Linked DNA regions of Anolis sagrei. The main gene of each other region encodes a partner of the protein of the gene in region 2 in a complex. Links are inferred from orthologs where the notes say so. Each region holds a gene or a part of one and is shown on either strand. Other genes may lie near its edges. The genes, in order: FAM98B and ZBTB8OS.

Region 1 (3,924 bases), on a different chromosome or scaffold from region 2:
TATCTGATTAGCCAAAACCAGTCACTATTTGATCAGGCAAATTTGTTCAAAGATGTTGAGTACTCACAGTTAATGCTCAGTGAGAAAATCTGGCACACGGCTGTATAAATGAGTCCAGAATGAAAGTAGACTATATGGTCAGTATAGATATATAATGTATTTTAACTGACTATACACTGACCATATAATGCAGTTTCTAGGTCAGTGCTTCTCAACCTGTGTTTTGGCCTACTACTCCCAGAAATCCCAGCCAGTTTACCAGCTGTTAGGATTTCTGGGAGTTGAAGGCCAAAACATCTAGGGACACACAGGTTGAGAACCACTGTTCTAGATAATCACATGGCTCTCCAGAAATTGATAGGCTGCACTCCTCCTCATTGGCTATTGTGGCTGATAGGAGTTGCAGTTCAAGAAACATGTGGAGGAGTACATTATTCCCACACGAAAGATACAATTGGGAAGTCAATTGGGAAGTCAAGTATTTATTTGATTTATTTAAGAAATTTATACCCTGCCTTTCCCCACTTAAGGGCCCAAGGTGGTTTAATGTGGTTAAAAACATGCATAATAAAGGTTAAAACATTTAAAACCAAATATTAGTAGTTGCTGTCACACGTCCTAAAACTGGCTGTTAGGAATTGTGGGAGTTGAAGTCCAAAACACCTGGAGGGCCTAAGTTTGCCCCTGACTGGTGTACATACACTTTACTTATGAGGGCCTGACCTCTTAGTATTCCTATCACATTACATCAAAAGTCCCCAACCTTTGGTGCTCCAGTTATTTGGACTTCAACTCCCAGAAATCCCAGCCAGCTTACCAGCTGTTAGGAATTGTGGGAGCTGAAATTTATTTACAACATTTGTATCCCGCCCATATCAGCGCAAAGGCGACTCAGGGCGGTGTAGAAGTTGGCAGCAATTAGATGCCCTGTATAAAAATACATCAATAAAAAGCAAAAACATCACAATACATTTAAAAACAATTAAAAGCAGTGAAGAATAAAAATTATAAAAACGATGTCTTCTGGTTCAAATCTTCAACCGTTCCATCGTCTTAGACCAGAGGTCCTCAAACTTTTTAAACAGAGGGCCAGGTCACAGTCCCTCAAACTGTTGGAGGGCCGGATTATAATTTGAAAAAATATATGAATGAATTCCTATGCACACTGCACATATCTTATTTGTAGTGCAAAAGACACTTAAAACAATACAATAATTAAAATGAAGAACAATTTTAACAAATGTGAGTTTATTAGTATTTCAATGGGAAGTGTAGGCCTACTTTTGGCTGATGAGATAGGATTGTTGTTGTTGTTGTTGTTGTTGTTGTTGTGTGTTTTCAAGTCATTTCAGACTTAGGTTGACCCTGAGCGAGGGCCGGGTAAATGACCTTGGAGGGCTGTATCCAGCCCCCGGGCCTTAGTTTGAGGACCCCTGTCTTAGACATTCTAGTTCATTTTCCGATTTGAGTTTGTCTGGTCATGCTGTGGTTCCAAACGCTTGCTCAAAGAGTAAAGTTTTCACTCTTTTTCAAAAGGTCAGAAGGGAGGGGGCTGATCTAATATCCCTAGGCAGGGAGTTTCACAGCCGAGGGGCCACCACAGAGAAGGCCCTGTCTCTCGTTCCCGGCAAACGTGCTTGTGAATCAGGCGGGATTGAGAGCAGGGCCTCCTCAGACGATTTCAAGTTCCTGGAGGGTTCATAGGGAGAGATGCATTCTTCATCTGGAGAGGCCCTGCTCGTGATCCCACCTGCTTCGCAAGCGCGTTTGGTGGGGACACGAGACAGGGCCTTTTCTGTGGTGGTCCCCCGACTCTGGAACGCCCTCCCCAAAGTTCTTAGACAGGCCCCTACATTGGCAGTCTTTAGAAAGAACTTGAAGATCTGGCTGTTCCGATGTGCCTTTCCAGAATAGGAATCTCCAACAACAAGTCCCAGAAGCACTTTACTAGAATTGAGACTACCGCACACTGCACTTACCCTATAATCCTTACATACCACCTGTCACATCAGCACTTTTAACCTTGTACACATTACTCTGGCCTGGCCCAGTTTTATAGTGTTTTTGTTGTATTGTTTATTGCTTGTTGTTTAATATGCTTTAACTGTTTTTAATTTGCTTTAGGTGTTGTATTGTTATGTTGTGTTTTGAGGCCTTGGCCTTTGTAAGCCGCATCGAGTCCTTCGGGAGATGCTAGCGGGGTACAAATAAAGTTAATAATAGTAATAATAATAATAATAATAATAATAGATAAGTTGGGCCGGCACTGTTTAGGGTTTTATAGGTTAAAACAAGCACTTTGAATTATGCCTGGTAGAAAATTGGCAGCCAGTAGAGCTGACGCAACAGCGGAGTTGTATGCTCCCTGAACACTGCTCCTGTTAGTAATCTGGCTGCTGCACTCCAGCCCATTTGAAGCTTCCGAGCAGTCTTCAAGGGCAACCCCATGTAGAGTGCGTTGCAGTAATCTATACGGGATGTAACCAGAGCTTCCCAAGGTACGGGCGCAGTTGGCGCACAAGCTTTAACTGTGCAAATGCTCCCCTGATCACTGCCAAAACCTGGGCTTCCAGGCTCAGTGATGAGTCCAGGATCACTCCCAAAACACCTGGAGGACCAAAGGTTGGGAACCACTGGATTAAATGAATTATTGTTATTTCCGACCTGCTTCTCTGCATGGCGGGGGGACAGCAACGTACTGTAACACATTAATCAGTTTAAAGGACTATATAAGGCCAAAGCATATTAAAACCATCAGTATAGAATTTAAAACGAGCCTTTGAAAACTCAAGCAACGTGTGAGCCAGGGAAGAGTTCTTCCTGATCGAGGAGGAAAACTGAAGAGGGATATTCATAGGACATATAGTAAGGCAAGTCTCACCCCAGAGCCTCCAGCGCGTCCAGCACATCACACTCCATTTTCAGATCCTGCGCCAAGTGCTTCAACTGGCCGGTCCCACCGCGATCTCCGTCCCCCGGCCCTCGCGCAGGCGGATGGGTGTCACACTCAAGCTACGCCGACCGCGCGCCGCTCCCCGGCCTTTGGGTTCCGGCTTTTGGAAAACAAAGCAGCCTATGCGCACCATTTCCAGGCATGGGCAAACTTCGGCCCTCCAGGTGTTTTGGACTTCAACTCCGGTAGGCTGTTAGGAATTGTGGGAGTTGAAGTCCAAAACACCTGGAGAGCCGAAGTTTGCCCAAGCTTGGTGTAGCTGCATTCACTCTAAACATATATTTTTACATATTTTTCTCTAAATCTGTTTTTTTTAAAGTTTTAATCCTATTCATTTGAGCATCGCAATTAAAGGGAGATGGAATGTGTCAAGAGAAGGTCGACTTAAATGATCCAGGGTCTGGAGAACATGCCCCATGAGGAGAGGCTTAAAGAGCTGCGCATGTTTAGCCTGAAGAAGAGAAGGCTGAGAGGAGACATGATAGCCATGTATAAATACGTGAGAGGAAGTCATAAGGAGGAGGGAGCAGGCTTGTTTTCTGCTGCCCTGGAGATTAGGACGCAGAACAATGGCTTCAGACTACAGGAAAGGAGATTCCACCTGAACCTGAACTTCTTGACTGTGAGAGCTGGTGTTCAGCAGTGGAACTCTCTGCTCCGGAGTGTGGTGGAGGCTTTTAAGCAGAGGCTGGATGGCCATCTGTCAGTGTGCTTTGAATGCAATTTTTCTGCTTCTTGAGAGGGGGTTGGACTGGACTTAAATGATCAAGGGTCTGGAGAGCATGCCCCATGAGGAGAGGCTTAAAGAGCTGGGCATGTTTAGCCTGAAGAAGAGAAGGCTGAGAGGAGACATGACAGCCATGTACAAATATGTGAAAGGAAGTCATAGGGAGGAGGGAGCAGGCTTGTTTTCTGTTGCCCTGGAGACTAGGATGAGGAACAATGGCTTCAAAATACAAAAAAGGAGATTC
Region 2 (3,924 bases):
TAATACAATATAATAATTATACAATATAATAATATATAATATTGTAAAAAATAATACTAACATAATTATAATAGTACTGATAATATACAATAATATATAATGGTAATACTGTTTTATTATTGCATATGTGTATATTTTAAGTTGTATTGTAATGTTTGTAATTGTGAGTTGCTTTGATTCTCCATACGGAGAGATAAAGAGGGAATACAAATAAATCAATAAATAAAATACAAATATTGCTAATAATAATAATAACAAGTATGGATCGTCAATGTTGCAATCCCAGGCAATAGCAGGATTGACGAGAAGCAACTGGAAAAGCTGACACGATATGAGGATTTAAAGACAGAACTGCAAAGACTCTGGCACAAGCAGTCAAAGTGGTCCCAATGGTGATCGGCACACTGGGTGCAGTGCCTAAAAACCTTGGCCTGCATTTAAAAACAATCAACACTGACAAAATTACCATCTGTCTGCTGCAAAAGGCCACCCTACTTGAATCTACACACATTATTCGGTGATACATCAGGGTCCTAGACACTTGGGTAGTGTCTGATGTGTGATCCAATACAACAGCCAGCACAGTGATCTTGTTTGCTGTGTACTAATCTTGTTATGTATCAAATAATAATAATAATAATAATAATAATAATAATAGCCTCTCACAAAACTATTTCCAACTTTCCTATTCTTTCCCTTGGAGTCAAGTTATGTCCATATTTAACAGGTTTTAAAGAAATGTATATAAATAAAAATGTAATGCTTGTTTGTGGGATTGACATAACTCAAAAACCACTGGATGTTTTGACACCAAATTTGGACACAATACACCTATAAAGACAACAAGTCACCATCACTCATAAAACACTGGCAAACACAGCAGAAGAGACTTAAAAGCAAAACAATAATACATTACAAAGCATGCACAAAACCACATATACACATACAAACACAGACACACATACACAAATATATAGACACACTAGCTGTACCCGCCACGCGTTGCTGTGGCCAACCTTCCCTCTCTCTTTCCCTCCTTCCTTCCCTCTTTCTTTCCTTCTTTCACTTTTTTATTTCCTTCTCTCCTTCCTTTTCTATCTTTCTTTCCTTCCTTCTCTCCTTCACTCCTTCTTTCCCTCTTTCCCTTCTTCCTTCCTTCCTTCCCACTTTCTGTGTGTATGTGTTTTGTGTGTGTATATATGCATATATGTGTATATATTTGTTTATATGTGTGTTTGCGCATGTGTTGTAATATATTTTTTTGCATCTATCATATACGTGTGTGTGTGTGTGTGTGTGAATGGCTGGATGGCCCTTTGTCAAGAAGGCTTTGATTATGTTTTCTTGCCCTGGTGAAGGGAGTTGGACTGTGTGGCAGCATTTCTCAACCTGGAAAGTCAAGACCCCAGGGAGGGGGGTTCACCAGGGGGGTGTCAGAATGGTCACCAAAGACCACCAGAAAACACAGAGTTTTCTGTTGGTCATGGGGTTCTGTGTGGGATGTTTAGCCGAATTCCATTATTGGTGGGGTTTGGAATGCTCTTTGATTGTAGGTGAACTATACATCCTAGTAACTACAACTCCCAAATGTCAAGGTCTATTCCCCCCAAACGCCATCTGTGTTCACATTTGGGCATATTGAGTATTCCTGTCAAGTTTGGTCCAGATCCATCATTGTTTGAGTCCTCAGTATTCTCTGGATGGAGGTGAACTACAATTCCAAAATCCAAGGTCAATGCCCACCACACCCTTTCAGTATTTTCTGTTAGTCGTGGGAGTCCTGTGTGCCAAGTTTGGTTCAATTCCATTGTTGGTGGAGTTCAGAATGCTCTTTGATTATAGGTGAACTATAAATCCCAGCAACTACAACTCCCAAATGACAAAATCATAATTTTTTATTTATGTTCACTCCTTGTGATGTGAAACATTTTGTTGCCAATTTTGGTGTAATTTCGTTCATTGGTTCTTTTGTTTTTAAGGTACTCATTATGCACAGAGCATTTATATATAGATAGATATATAGACACATATACACACACAAAACACTTATACACAGACTCTGTGTGTGGCAGGGGATGGCTAGTTGTTTTAATAATTTCACTGGCTTCAAATAAGTCCCATATTTAATTCCATTTTAGTGTTATGCTTTAGGTTTAAACATTGTGTGATTGTTTGTGTTTGGCTGCGTTGAGCCTCCTTTGAAAGAGAGAGAAAGCAAGAGAAATAGATAGATAGATTTGATTATAGATCAACCCCAGCCTGCATTTCTTGGCACCTTATTCATAAATCAGGAATGAAATCCTTTTCAAATAGATGGGAAAAGACTCACATTCGTACTTCTTCGAAATAGGCGCATATTTCGCTTTAATGAGCTTCTGGTCCTCGGTTAAATTGTAATCCCGGTAATTGTCCAGCTCCGTAGCTTCACTGAGAGCCATTCTAAGTTAAAATTAAGTCAAATCAATGGTTGTTTAGGGAGAAGGAATGGGAAGAGGTGGAGGGCACGGCCGGCAGCCTCTCTCTGCCTCCACTCTGCTCAGGTCCAGGCCAGGCGGCAAAGCAGGGCCTCTTCCTGGTTGCCTCTTAAAGAGACAGTAGCAGGTTTTGACGCAAGGGGGCACCTAGCAAGTTTGATTATTATTCAAACTTCCTAGGCTTTGTATTGTCGAAGGCTTTCATGGCTGGAATCACTAGGTTCTTGTGGGTTTTTTCGGGCTAAAGGGCCATGTTCTAGAGGCATTTCTCCTGACGTTTCGCCTGCATCTATGGCAAGCATCCTCAGAGGTAGTGAGGTCTGTTGGAATTAGGACAATGGGTTTATATATCTGTGGAATGACTGGGGTGGGGCAAAGAGCTCTTCTCTACTGGAGCTAGGTGTGAATGTTTCAGGTGACCACCTTCATTAGCATTTGAAGGCCTGGCTGAGCCTGGAGGAATCTTTTGTTGAGAGGTGTTAAGATGTGCCTGGTTGTTTCCTCTCTGCTCTTTTGCTGTTGTAATTTTAGAGTTTTTTAATACTGGTAGCCAGATTTTGTTCATTTTCATGGTCTCCTCCTTTCTGTTGAAATTGTCCACATGCTTGTGGATTTCAGTGGCTTCTCTGTGTAGTCTGACATGGTGGTTGTTGGTGTGATCCAACCAGGCCCGTAGCCAGGATTTTGTTTCGGGAGGGGGGGGGGGCTAAAAAAATTTCAGGGGGGGGTTCGGGGAGGGGGCTGAGTTTCGGGGGGGGGCTGAGTCTGAGTGAAAGAGGGTCTAGCCTAGCAAACCTTTTGTATCATTACCCCAATACCCCCATGCATATGGGATATATTGAGTATGGTGATCAGATCATGATATGAATAAACATAACAGTTTAAATAATGCACCAGTAAGGCCTTTTCACGAACCACCATGAGAATTTCGGGGGGGGGGGGGGCTGAAGCCCCTCAAGCCCCCCCCCCCCCCGGCTACATGCCTGGGTCCAGCATTTCTGTGTTCTCAAATAATATGCTGTGTCCAGGCTGGTTCATCAGGTGCTCTGCTATGGCTGACTTCTCTGGTTGAAGTAGTCTGCAGTGCCTTTCATGTTCCTTGATTCGTGTTTGGGCACTGCTACCAGTATTAAAAATTCTAAAATTACAACAGCAAAACAGCAGAGAGGAAACAACCAGGCACATTTTAGCACCTCTCAACAAAAGGTTTTCCCAGGCTCAGGCAGGCCTTCAAATGCTAATGAAGGTGATCAGCTGAAACATTCACACCTAACTGCAGCAGGAAAGAGCTCCTTGCCCCACCCCAGCCATTCCACAGATATATAAACCCATTGTCCTATTTCCAACAGACCTCACTACCTCTGAGGATGCTTGCCACAGATGCAGGCGAAACGTCAGGAGAAATGCCTCTAGAACATGTTCCTAGGCTTTCCCTCTAGGGACCCATAGG

The links.
Region 1: ZBTB8OS (region 2) and FAM98B share a complex: the UniProt entries of both Homo sapiens proteins name them as parts of the tRNA-splicing ligase complex. The link is inferred for Anolis sagrei from reciprocal best matches to the Homo sapiens genes ZBTB8OS and FAM98B.

The regions. Positions count from the first base shown.
Region 1 is NC_090021.1:292,584,641-292,588,564, forward strand, and holds the start of FAM98B (protein FAM98B), read right to left. Parts: upstream 2,992-3,924; 5' UTR 2,920-2,991; coding exon 2,882-2,919; intron 1-2,881. UniProt on the Homo sapiens protein: Positively stimulates PRMT1-induced protein arginine dimethylated arginine methylation.
Region 2 is NC_090034.1:83,665,014-83,668,937, forward strand, and holds the start of ZBTB8OS (protein archease), read right to left. Parts: upstream 2,571-3,924; 5' UTR 2,439-2,570; coding exon 2,330-2,438; intron 1-2,329. UniProt on the Homo sapiens protein: Component of the tRNA-splicing ligase complex required to facilitate the enzymatic turnover of catalytic subunit RTCB. Together with DDX1, acts by facilitating the guanylylation of RTCB, a key intermediate step in tRNA ligation.